Linked DNA regions of Mus musculus. The protein of the gene in region 3 interacts with the protein of the main gene of each other region in a pairwise test. Links are inferred from orthologs where the notes say so. Each region holds a gene or a part of one and is shown on either strand. Other genes may lie near its edges.

The links.
Region 1: the proteins of Acy3 (region 3) and Pmm2 interact in binary tests that used the Homo sapiens proteins (3 or more experiments, as listed by UniProt). The two-hybrid records come from large-scale screens. The link is inferred for Mus musculus from reciprocal best matches to the Homo sapiens genes ACY3 and PMM2.
Region 2: the proteins of Acy3 (region 3) and Plekhf2 interact in binary tests that used the Homo sapiens proteins (3 or more experiments, as listed by UniProt). The two-hybrid records come from large-scale screens. The link is inferred for Mus musculus from reciprocal best matches to the Homo sapiens genes ACY3 and PLEKHF2.

The regions. Positions count from the first base shown.
Region 1 is NC_000082.6:8,651,157-8,654,738, reverse strand, and holds part of Pmm2 (phosphomannomutase 2), read right to left. Parts: intron 3,330-3,582; coding exon 3,214-3,329; intron 1-3,213. UniProt on the Homo sapiens protein: Involved in the synthesis of the GDP-mannose and dolichol-phosphate-mannose required for a number of critical mannosyl transfer reactions.
Region 2 is NC_000070.6:11,004,815-11,009,030, reverse strand, and holds the start of Plekhf2 (pleckstrin homology domain-containing family F member 2), read left to right. Parts: upstream 1-1,411; 5' UTR 1,412-1,638; intron 1,639-4,216. UniProt on the Homo sapiens protein: May play a role in early endosome fusion upstream of RAB5, hence regulating receptor trafficking and fluid-phase transport. Enhances cellular sensitivity to TNF-induced apoptosis.
Region 3 is NC_000085.6:3,985,221-3,989,382, reverse strand, and holds the start of Acy3 (N-acyl-aromatic-L-amino acid amidohydrolase (carboxylate-forming)), read right to left. Parts: upstream 2,814-4,162; 5' UTR 2,772-2,813; intron 2,561-2,771; 5' UTR 2,432-2,560; intron 2,333-2,431; 5' UTR 2,314-2,332; coding exon 2,078-2,313; intron 1,653-2,077; coding exon 1,460-1,652; intron 1,246-1,459; coding exon 1,152-1,245; intron 986-1,151; coding exon 878-985; intron 778-877; coding exon 668-777; intron 1-667. UniProt on the Homo sapiens protein: Plays an important role in deacetylating mercapturic acids in kidney proximal tubules. Also acts on N-acetyl-aromatic amino acids.

The DNA.
Region 1 (3,582 bases), on a different chromosome or scaffold from region 3:
AACAGTATCCGAGCAGACAGGAAGAAAGAAGGCAGGGTGGGGACTACAAAGTAGGCAGCAGTCTGAGTGAGTCCAGCAGCAGGTAGAGAGATCTGCACAGGAGTCTCAGAGGAAGTCTCAAGTGGGATGGGCGTCTGTAAGCACAGGACCTCTGTAGAAAGCACACAGCAGGCACTTGGAAGCATCCACTGCAAAACACACAGGGACTGACTTCATATCCCGCCTCGGCCCTTACCATCTGAGCGTCAGTCAGCAAACCAATCCCTCTTACTCCTTTCAAAACTGGAAAGAGTAAGAGTTACTGCCCTAAACTTGCCCTAAACCTTGGATTCTATGAACAGCAAAATGTCCTGGTTGAATCAGCGCAGGCAGTGACTGCCCACTGTGAGGCTGTGCCCGGAGCACCCCTCTCCTGAGAACCACATGCAGAGCGAGAGCTGCAGCTGGCTGCACATTCTTTCACTTTTGCAGACCTCCTCCCCCCCATGTGATCAACCCTGCCTCTTTAGAGCAGGGGAATGGCTTTAAACTGACATAGCTCAGCTATAAACCAGAATACAAAAGAGAACAAGCTGTGTGTGTGCATGTGTGAGAGAGTGAAAGAGAGAGAGAGAAGAGGAGAGACAGAGAAAGAGAGATGAGAAAGAGGAAAGAGAGGAGAGAGACAGAGAGGAAAGAGATGAGAAAGAGAGAAGAGAGACAGGGAGGAGGAATACGAGACAGAATCCCATTACTTAGCTCAGGTTGACTTCCAACATGCAATTCTCCAGTCTCTGCCTCCCAAGTGTTAGGATTATAGGAATATACCACCACACCTGGATTCACTTAATAAAAACATGATTCAAAGCAGTGGTAATGCAAGAGGTAAACCGAGTAGCAAACCCTCGAGTCCTATCAGCTTCATTGCATTTTCATCTGCGAAGTTCCAGCAAGGCGTCTAGATGGCATTCCCATACCACATGGGGCTGGGTCGTGATTGCAGAGAAGCCTGTTGTGTGAACATTCTGGGAGAATGGTTGTGCTGTTATTCTACCCTCAGAACAAGGCTGCTTTGCTTCAGAGCTGGCTGGCTTGGAGCACTGTCACAGCTCCTTGGACTAGGTCTATTATCTGGTCAGAGAGCTACATTGTTGTGAAAAACTGGACACGTTTAAGCAGACGCAGACATCTGATCCCAGCTATTCTGATAACCAGTTCCCCAAAGAAACAAACTCAATGCTGTCCTACCTGATAAGACCCGCACCACCTGGGCAACGTGACAGACAGACACACACACTAGCAGAATCTTTACTGCAGCCTACCTAACAGACGCTGCTACTGCCCTCCTCTCTGCTGAATTTATTCATGGCTCACGGAGCTCACTCATGTAAAGACTTCCGAGGACCAGATCGCTAGTCTTTTGGATCTATACTCAGCAGTGTGATTCCTGGATCATAAGAGGTTCTATTTTTGGATTTTTGAAGACCACTCTATATAGTTGTCCATATTGACTGTACCATCTACTGTTCTGAGGTAAAGAGTCACTAATTTCTACCTTCTTCTGTGTGTGTCTATTAAAAATGGCCAGTCTAATAGTAGAATTGGCTCTCACTGTGACCTGGATATACATTCTTATGACCTGTGATTCAGATGTCAACCCTATGTGCTCAGGAGTCCACTGTGTGTCTTCAGACATGTTAAATCAGGTTCTTTGTTTCTATTATTTTATATGTACGGGTGTTTTGCCTGCGTGTGTGTCTGTGCATCACTGTGCCCTGATGCCTACAGAGGACAGAACAGGGCTTCTGATTCCCACGGGACGGGTATTACAGACAGTTGTGAACCACCATATAGGTGCTGGGAACCAAACCCAGATCCGCTGGCAGAGCAGCCGGTGCTCTTCCCTGCTGAGCATCTCCCCAGCCCTTAAATGGAGTTCTTACTTTGCTGCTGAGTTGCAGGAGTCTGGTACATTTTGGATCGACAGATATATGGTTGGTTGAGTATTTGTTCCCTCACATTTCATAGGCTCTTTTGGTTTTTGTTTTGATTTTTAAAGACAGGGTCTATCTGTATAGCCCTAGCTGACCTGAAACTCACCGTGTGGACCAGGCCGGCCTTAAACAGATATCTGCCTGTCTCTGGCTCCCAAGTGCTGGGCCTGAGAGTGTGCACTGCCACCCAACCACAGGCCGCCTTCTCCTGCTGTGCTCTTCTTGCTGAGCAGCAGCAGTGGTTTTGCCCGGTCCAGGCCTGCTTGTTTATTTGGCTTCCGCTGCCCACGACAATGTCCAGAGGCTGCCGCCTATGTTTTCTAAGGGGGGCTGCCATGTCAGCTCAGATAGACAACCAAACACAATGAGCCACAGGCTCACATTCACAGAGGCATTACTTATGGTGACTGAGAGAACAAAAGTCACAAGTCTGCCAAAGGATGGATTAAGTAAACTGCGTACCCATACAGTGCAGGATTATCTAGCCTTAAGAAAGGAGATTCTTATTGTTGATAAATCTGGAGGATGTCACACTAAGTAAGATAATCCACTGTTACCAGGACCCTGCTGCAAGCAGACCTTGGACAGTGTTGATCCCGACAGGGTGAGCAGCTGTCAAAGGGACCAGAGCCGCAGTTGCAGCATTTATGATGGATGCCCTACAGGGTTCACAACGGCTACCATGCCTGAACCAGGATCCTACAAAAAGGTGACATGGGCAGTGCAAGGTGAGAAGCTGACACACAACCGGGACCCAAGGCCAAGCACAGCGCTAAGTAGCTGGTTCTAAAGCACCTCTCAGGCCTTGGGTCGTGGCCGTAGGCAGCTGTGCAGGGAGAGCCTCAGAGGCTGCAGAGTGGCTCTGGGGAAACGACGGCGCTCAGACCTCGTCTATGCTGAACTGGGCTTTCTGCAAGCTCTCACTGTGGTCTCCAGCACTCTGGGTGACACTAGGCAGATGCTCACTTCAAGTTATCCCGACTAACAGTGCGCATCAGACTCAGATAATGCCCCACCTTCCCATGTTTGTTACCCTAGCGTGCAATTTACTATGAACACAGGAGGGAGGGTAGAGCAGAATCATAAAGCAGCAGTAGTGAAGATACTTAATTCAAAGGACACACTGATGACCATCTACAGTCCTTGCTCCCACTGGGCAGGACCTCAAAGCTCTGAGGGGAGGGAGGCCATCAGGTAGGATGCAAGATGGCAAAACAGCACAGGAGACCTTCCTATTTACCGGCATAGTCTTGTCTCCAAAGAAATAAATGGTCTTATAGCCAGCATGTTCCAGGTGTCTCAGGCAATACCGCTTATCCCATCCTTCAGGAAAGACGTCAATGCTGATTTGGCCACCTGCAGGATGGGGAGGATACAAGGCTCAGCAGGGCTGGGGGTGCAGCTTGCCTGGGGCTCCTGAGCACCAGCCCCAGCACAGCCTGGGAGAGGAGGGAGAGAGACTAACACCTTTGGAGAAGGACGCAGCTTGTCTCTTTCATATCCTTGCTCACCACTCCCTGTCACTTCATGGACAGGTCCTCTGCTGCTTTCCCCGTGTCATCTCACCTGGGTCTAAGAGCAGCCACCTCTCTTAATGCTTTCCCAAAGA
Region 2 (4,216 bases), on a different chromosome or scaffold from region 3:
TTTTTTTTTTTTTGTTTTTTTTGTTTTTTTTTTTTTGAGACAGGATTTCTCTGTATAGCCCTGGGTGTCCTGGAACTCTCTGTAGACCAGGCTGGCCTCAAACTCAGAAATCTGCCTGCCTCTGCCTCCCGAGTGCTGGGATTAAAGGCATTCGAAGAGCAACATTTTTATTGATGACACTAGAAACACAGCAGTTCCTAATCTTAAAATTTAAAAAGATTTTAGAGTGTGCTTAGTCTAGCACACATAAAGATTGTGTGTGTATACGATTGAAATCCTGTAACTATCCCTATTACGACAACTGATCTCCTTTGCCAGTTTTGTTCTGGATACTAATTTAAAACAACTGTATTTGTTTCACAGACATTCTTCTTCCTCTTCCTCTTCTTCTTCTTGTTTTTCGAGACAGAGTTTCTCTGTAGACCAGGCTGGCCTTGAACTCAGGATTCCGCCTGCCTCTGCCTCCCAAGTGCTGGGATTAAAGGCGTGTCCAACACCGCCCGGCAGCTCTCAATCTTCTTAATGCTTTAATATAGCTCCTCCTATTGCGGTGGTCTCCACCATATAATTATTTGTTACTACTTCATAACTGTAATTTTGCTGTTATGAATCATAATGCAAAATATGTTCTCCGATGGTCTTAGGCGACTCCTGTGATCCGCAGGTTGAGAACTGCTCAACAGGAGGCTAAAAAGAAAATTCCTGAATAAAACTTTAATAATAACCCAATTTCTACCCCTTTCCTGTTTAAACGGTGTGCTTTTCCCAGCCAGCCAGCCTAGATGCCTCTGCTATCTCTCCGCAGCGCCTAGTAAACGCTCTTCTAACCCAGCGTCATGGTAGCACCGAGTTCTAGGTACGCGAAGCAGTTGGCCGAGGGGAAGTTTTGAAAAGAGCGGAGTTCTTCGGCATAAGGTTACACAGGAGCCTGCGGGTCATGGGTGCGGTAAGCGCAGACCCCTGGCTTGGGAGAAAGCGACAGCAGGTGTTCGGCTGAATGGCCGAGCCGGGCGGGGTTGGCAGACGCGGTTGGGTGGCGAGAAGCAAAGCCTTTCCTGTTCCTTAGGGCGGGAGGCGTGGAGGCAGCTTCCGCCCATTCTTCCAGAGAACTTCGCGGACTGCTTAAGAGCCCTTTCCGAAGGCTAGCCCGAGTCAGGAAAGTCAGGTCAGGCGACCCAGTCCAGCCTCAGCTGGCTCAGACGCGCGTCACCTCTGCAGAGGCGCGCGTTCCCCAACCCCGCCGGGGGAGGCCCCCGAGTGGGTGTGGCCTCCGCTGAAGAGCCCGCCCCCCGTGCGGTCGCGTGGGGATGGAGGGGCGGGGCAAGGCGATGGGCGGGGCGAGGGAGCCGGGAAGAAAGGGCAGGGCGGGTGTGCTCGTGCCCGTGTTTGGCGCTTGGGCGGGGGCGCGCCGGTGCGCGCGCAGGAGGGAAGCCAGCCGGAGCGGCCGTTGTCGGGTTCGACTGGAGGGGCGGTGAAGTCACCTGCGAGCGGCTGCGCCCGCCGCGTCCGGATCGCGCCGGCCTCGCGGGGCCCCACGCAACCCTGCGAGGCTGGGGTCGGGGAGCAGGCGGAGTCCGCGCCCGGAGTCGGCGACTAGGAGGACTCGCACCCTCGGCGCCGCCGCCCGCGCGGGGTCGGGTAGGTGCCATGGGGGTCGGGACGCACCGGGCGGCGGCGGGCTGGGGAGGGAGAAGCGAAACTTTGCGGGCGCCTATCCCCGCGGGCCCGGGCCAGCCGTGGCGCGGGGAGGGGTTGGCGCGGGCGGCGGCGGCCGACGCCATGTTGGGGTCTGTGGGAAACGGGGCGCTCGGGCGGCTCCCCTCCGGGCCGGCGCTCGGGCTGGAACCGCCTGGGTCCCGCCGCGCCCGTCCGCGGGACGCCGCCCGGAGGGCCAGGGCCGGGACCATAGACGGCGGCTGGGGACTGGACCTCGCGTCGCCCCCGAAGTTGTGGGGCAGCAGGACTCGGGTCCCCAGATCGTGCGGTCTGAAAACTTTGCAGGGTCTGGGCGTCAGGGGCACGCTCTGACTCCAGCAGTTTATTTTATGACTTTATATGAAAATGGCACCGTACAATTGGCTCAGATAGGAGCGGTAGCTTACACGCTACTTGAAGGGTTTTTTTTTTTTAAGTTTTATGATCTTTTGCCTAGTTTTTTTTTTTTTTTAATGTTATTAAAGGCCAAGAGCTGGTTCCCCAAGTTGCTCGAGTAGCCTTGTATAGTCCTCGAATATTAAAGCAGTAAGTTGTGTGAGTGTGCAGTGGAAATGACTAGTATTCAGGTTACATACACCTAAGCAGTAATTCAGACTCCCAAGTACATTAAACTGGTAAATGCCTTCTTTGTTATGTTTTAATATGTTGCCTAAGAGACTCGTTAAAGAACCATTTAGAGTTGAACGTTCAGTTGAAACGTTAAGGCATGTGTTGTCTTAAGACTAAGTGAAATAACCCAGTGTGTTGGCTCATGCCGGTTTTCTGAGCACTCCCGCGGGCTAGGGCAGAAGCATTGCCGCGAGTTCAAGGCCAGCCTTGGCTACAGCTTGAGTCTGAAACAAACAACCCCAGGACCACAACAAACAGATTAGGGTGATTTTGACGATTCAGTTTTTTTTTTATTCTTTTTCCTTTTCGTTCCTTAAAGGTGCATGAGTTTTGAGCCCCTATCTTTGTACCTTTATAGCTTAAGGGGTGGGAGGACCCAGGTTAAATCAGAATTAACCCAGGCTATTTTTAATCACTATGGGTCATGAGAGCATTGGGAGGTGAATGGTATTAAGTTGCTTATTTGGAAAGCTCTTTATAATCGCCCCTGCCCCCAAATGAAACTGGTGTACAGCATGAAGTAGCCTAGTAAATAAATACCCTTAAAAAAATAAAGGCGGCTTTAAAATTATGTTAAATGGGCTGAAAAGACTCTTAACAATGCAGAAGCCGTAAACAGCCGTGGTGGTTTTCCTTTTTTACTCTTTAGTTTTTTAAAATCATTCTACTATGTGGGGAAGGAGGAGGCACGCAGCCCCAGACCTCACGCAGAGAGGTCAGAAGACAAATTTCCTGAGTTTCTTCTCTTCACCATGTGATTATGGGGATGGAATTTAGGTTGTCAGGCTTGGGGGCCAGCTGCTATCATTACTTTCTGAGCCACTTTTCTGACCCCTCTATTTTTAATTATATCGTGTGTGTGTGTGTGTGTGTGTGTGTGTGTGTGTACATTTGTGTGGGCACATGGCACAACTGTGGAGGTCAAAGGGATAACTTTGGAAGTTGCTTCTCCATCCACCTTCTGCCCCAGGATAGAGCTGAGGCTGTCAGGCCTGGCCTCAGAGCCTTACCCCACAGAGCCATCCCTGCCCCTCTTTTTAGTGTTTAGTAGGTAAAAGTACTTTCTTAGGTATGCCAACTTTCTTTAAATTTTTCTTTAATTTTTGCTCCCTTGTCAGGTCACTTCCATTTGATATATATTTATTTTTTGGACCAAAAATTATTTATCAGAAAGAAGTTACTAGCCTGATATCACAAATCTTAGTAGTCAGTCTGCAGCCATCTGATCGTTTCTAGAGCATGGCATAACTCATCCCTGTGTGGGCATTCTCTTGCCCATCTCGTTTCTTCACTTATCCTAATTCAGGCTTCAGTAGAACTGTCTGCTAAAGAGCTGATAATGCAAGGGTATGATACTGACTGTTTTCTTCTTAAAAACTTTTTGTGGAAGCTGGGGGTGTAGTGGAGCACGGCTGTAATCCCAGCACCCTGAGGCCAAATTGCTGAGGGGTTGATCTGGGATTCATAGTGAGACTGTCTCAAAACCAACCAAAACCAAATCTACCCTCAAACCTGCCCTCTTTGATGCTTTCCCACCCACTGTGCAGACCAGCTTCCTCTTTCTCCATTGGATTCAACCCTAGGCGTCCTAGACCTACCACCTAGGTCTGTAATGGCACGCCCTTGACGGCAGGCCTCATGTGAGGTCCCATTTGCTTGTCCATCTTCCGCAAGCCAGAATGGAGCAGATGCTCAGGGGAGGCTTAGATGGTTCCCTGTAAATAGTCTTCATAAACTTACTAAATTGTCATTTATCCGTGGGATAGCTAAGCTTCTCCGTCGTCTGCCCTACGCACTACAAACTCCATTCAGTTGGCGGATGAAGGGCTTGAATTTGTGTGTGTGTTTTCTTTTTAGACACAATTAACTATTTCCAAGCAGATAATAGACT
Region 3 (4,162 bases):
TCAATTCCCAGCAACCACATGGTGGCTCACAACCATCTGTAATGAGATCCAATGTCCTCTTCTGGTGTGTCTGAAGACAGTAACAATGTACTCACATAAATAATCTTAAAAAAAAAAGAAAAGAAAAGAAATAATCTTATCAGAATCACTCCTGTATACACTCTCTCTTCTTGGACAAAATACTGAACATGTTTATATTTTTTAAAGTAAAATCTCTAAAATAGCTGTTGTTACACATCATTTGCAAAGCATATGGGCAGGTCTGGCTTAGGATGCTCTCCCAGATGTCATAAATGAGATTAAAACTACTAAGACTGCTGTAGAAAAAGGCTACAGGACTGCACAAGAGCCTGTTTAACAGCGCCCCTTGTGGACAGTCAGCTCCCAGGCATGGAGCTTTTCACATTTCCATGGAAAAAGAATACTTGTACTTCTAAGCAGGTGACTTGCGTCCTGTCTCCTCCCCTTGGCTTCTCCTGTTAAAGGAGGGCAGCATCCACCAGCCTCCCTACTCCACTGTGAAGATTTCAGCTGCTCCAAATGCCAGGCTGGGGCGGGGCTCTAGGTGCAGGTGTGGACTGCACCAACTTCTGGTCCAGCTCAGGATTCTACTAGGGGTTCAGTCGGATGTTCTGGGTACCCCCACCCCGGCTCCCACAACACCAACCTGCAGTTGAGGGTGCACAGTGCCAGCCAGGTCACCATCTGCAGTGCGTGGGAAGTCCACACTGCCCAAGTTCCTGTAGATATCCATCTCAAAGGCGGGTAAGTCCATGCCTGTGTAGAGGCTGTGTGTGACCACTTGTCCCTCTGGTTTCCAGAAGCCAACCCTTTCCTCAGACCTCAGTTTTCCTGAAAAGCTACTGGGGGGTCTCACCTTGGTTGAAGAGCTCGATGAAGTCCAGAATGGATGCCACCAGAGCTCGCATCCGGGAGAACAGGTCGGCCCGCAGCACGCCCTGAGGCTGTGGGCCCATCTCCAGACCTGGGGGGCCAGAAAAGGAGATGTCAGGCAAACGGCCCAGGCCTAGCCATGGTAGGAGGTTCCCCCCCCAATTCTGCTTATTTTCTACCCTTCCTAACTCCGCCCCTCCTGACTCCTCCCCCTCCCTGCCTACTCCTCCTGCTCTCCTTCCCACCCGTCAGCTCACAGATTCCATTCTTGGATATAGATTCCACGCTGAAGGTCTCCGTCCCAGCTGGCTCATACAGAAAGAGGCGGCAGGGCATCCCCGGGTTCTGCCGCTGTGGGGTGAGAGGCACCAGTCAGGACCCAGGCCTTCTTGAGGGGAAACTGAGGCACTGACGCTGGGAAGAGCAGTGTGCAGGAGGCACAGGGTCGTCCACCCTGCCCCACCTCTTTTCCTTGGTTGGAAGGTTAAGGCGAGCCTGGAGTACCTCAGGTGGCACTGGTCCCTCTGCCCCCTCCCCGCCCTCCTTCCTGCCCCCTAGGGACCACCTGTAGGTAGTGGCACAGGTGCAAGTTGAAGGAGATGTTGGATTCAGAGATGAGGCAGACTCCAGTGTTTGCTGTGGTGTTGTGCAGGTCTAGGGTAAAGTCAAAAGCCTGGCCTGTGCCCTTGGGACCCAGCAGCTGGTTCAACTCTCGGGCTCTTTTCACTTCATAGGGGTCATCAGGGGTAGCGGTGGAACTGTGGGGAAAGGAATGGGGGACATCAGTCCCCATCATCTCAGTCTCCCTTTCCTTGGCTAACTTCTCACCTTTGGTGGGGGAGGGGGGAGATTAGCTGGATGCCACCTCCTACAAGAAGCCTTCCCTGACTTCTCTTGGTCAGGCTGGATGCTCCATGTAGTCCCACCTTCACCCCAGTCTTTTTCTGTGCCTCCAGTAACCTGAAGCTGACATGTTGGTCCTGTTCCCCATGTATGTCTCACTTCAGCTGGTAAGAGTCTGGCCTACTGGGCAGACTTCCTGGAAGAGGTGACATTGATCTGGATCTCGCTAAACCATATGGTCATTGAGAAAAGACAGAGATGCCTTGCTAGCCACTGTGACCAGTCTGTAGGGATGCTAGTACCTGGCTGTGGACCGGCCAGCCTGGCTGAGGGTACTCACCCAAGGAAGGTGAGGGTGCAGGAGCGGTTGAGATCACGGTCCAGGTAACGGCAACAGGCAGCTGTGGCTGCTGGGTTGGCCAGAACCGGCATGGCTGAGAAGCTGGGTCTCTGCAGCTCCCCTGGGTTCTGTAGCCAGTACCGGGCCAGGTAGACACCACACATCTCATTCCCGTGGGTGCCTCCAGTCACAGCCACACGGAGCAGGGGCTCCCGGGACCCAGGTAGGGAGGACATCTCCCAGTGTGGGGAAGAACTGCACAAGAGATGTGGAATCTAAGTATCCAGAGCCTGAACAGTAGGGTGAGCTCCCCACAGAAGAGTCTGAGGCAGGGGGATGCCAACTGTGACCCACCTGTACCCAGAAGCCAAGTTCAAGACACCAGCAGCCAAATTTTTGTTCCCCCTTGCAACCTCAGTCCCTCTTCTGGAATGTTCTGAGGGTGAGTGTCGCTCTCCCCACTTTTCTCTCTGAGGACCTAAGCTGAGAAGGGGGACTCAGACATTCAGAAGGTCGACTGTTCCCACCCACACGACTGTCACCACAGAACTATTTTATAGATGGTAAAGCCAATGCCTAGCTTTCCAGGGGGAGAAGACTGTCACCCCCTAAGCTGTGCAGCAAGTGTCTGGATTTCAGGCCACCTCTGCACCCTCCTCTGAACTGGTCGGGAGCCTCTGCCAGAGCCTCTTACCTGCTGGTACGAGCCTGGGCTTCCCTAGGCCACAGGCCTAATGTGTCCACCCCCTAGGAGGCTGTATTTATAGGCCCGCAGGTCCCAGGCAGGAAGTGTTTGTTCCAAGTAGGCGGAGAACTGGAGGCGGGAGGCTGGGCTGGGAGCCAAGCAGCCAAAGTTCGCAGGGCCCCACCCCTATCCCCTAAGCTCCGCCCCCACTCCCATCAGCTTAATGGGTCCAGGTCTCTGGGGCAGGTTCCTGTCCTTGCCCTCTCCTCTTTCCCCCGGAAAAGGGACAGTTTTACTTGCAAGGGTCTCTGGGGACTTCTGCTGGAAGCTGCGCTTGCCCAGAGATTCCTGACTTGGAACCATGTCTCCCAGTCCTCAGAAAGGACTTGGCTTTGCACTGATGAGTACTGGTGGTCCACTGCTTGGTCCTTTAAGGGTAGACAAGGCCTGCCTGGTGTCCACTCCGATCCATGCAGAGAGGTGCTTTCCTTGAGGCTACTTAAGGCAGACAACAGTGGGCAGTGACTTGATTTTGGCCACAGCAGCCCTGTACTTTGGGGGCCACCGGAAAAGGAGTCCTCTTCCCTGCCACCTTCCCCTGCACCGGCCTGTCTTTGCAGCCCACAGCCACCTATTTAAAGCTGTGATCTATGAGGTTCAAATCTTACAGCTCACTGATGCTTCAAACAAAACCGCAAAATGTTTTGCCTGGTCTTTGTGATGGCCTTCAAGGACACTGTAACTGAAATGACTTTGTTTACTCTGCTTTGGAAAACAACCCTCAGGCCCAGTCTACAGATGTGGAAACTGAGGCTCAGCAGAGGAGCAAAGGGTACACTGAACACAGGGGACAGTTGGAACTGGAAGACAGAGTGATCCTTTCCATTCCCTGAGACCTCCGTGGGGGTCCTGGGGAAGTCCTGGTTCCCTGACCCTCAGCTGTCCCTCCTACTGAGCTCAGCTGTCCTCTGGCAGGAGGCAAGCACTGTTCAGAGGTCGCTGAGGAGAGAGGCAGTGAGCCATGCAGCCCACTGAACCATCGGATTAACTATGCCTACTGACTGCACTTGGCCTCCAAGGTCAGGCCTTGTGTTTCAGGATGTCCTGACATCCGGCAGGAACTAAATCACTCTCGCTGTAGGTCCAAGCTTACAAGACAGTTTGGACATTCTGGGTGGCAACCTTATCAGAGCTGCTTAGATCACACTCTAGCCTGAGTCTGCTCTCTTACCCTCCCCCACCCCATGGCACTGTCACTGTGGGGACAGTGGAGCCCTGTGGCTCACCTTTGTTCTCACGAGGCCTGCCAGCTGTCCTTTGGCGAAGAGCTGGAAGCGTGCAGTGTGGCCCTGGGCGCCCTTTCTGCAGTCTGAGGCGTCAGCGGAGAGAGGGTCGAGACC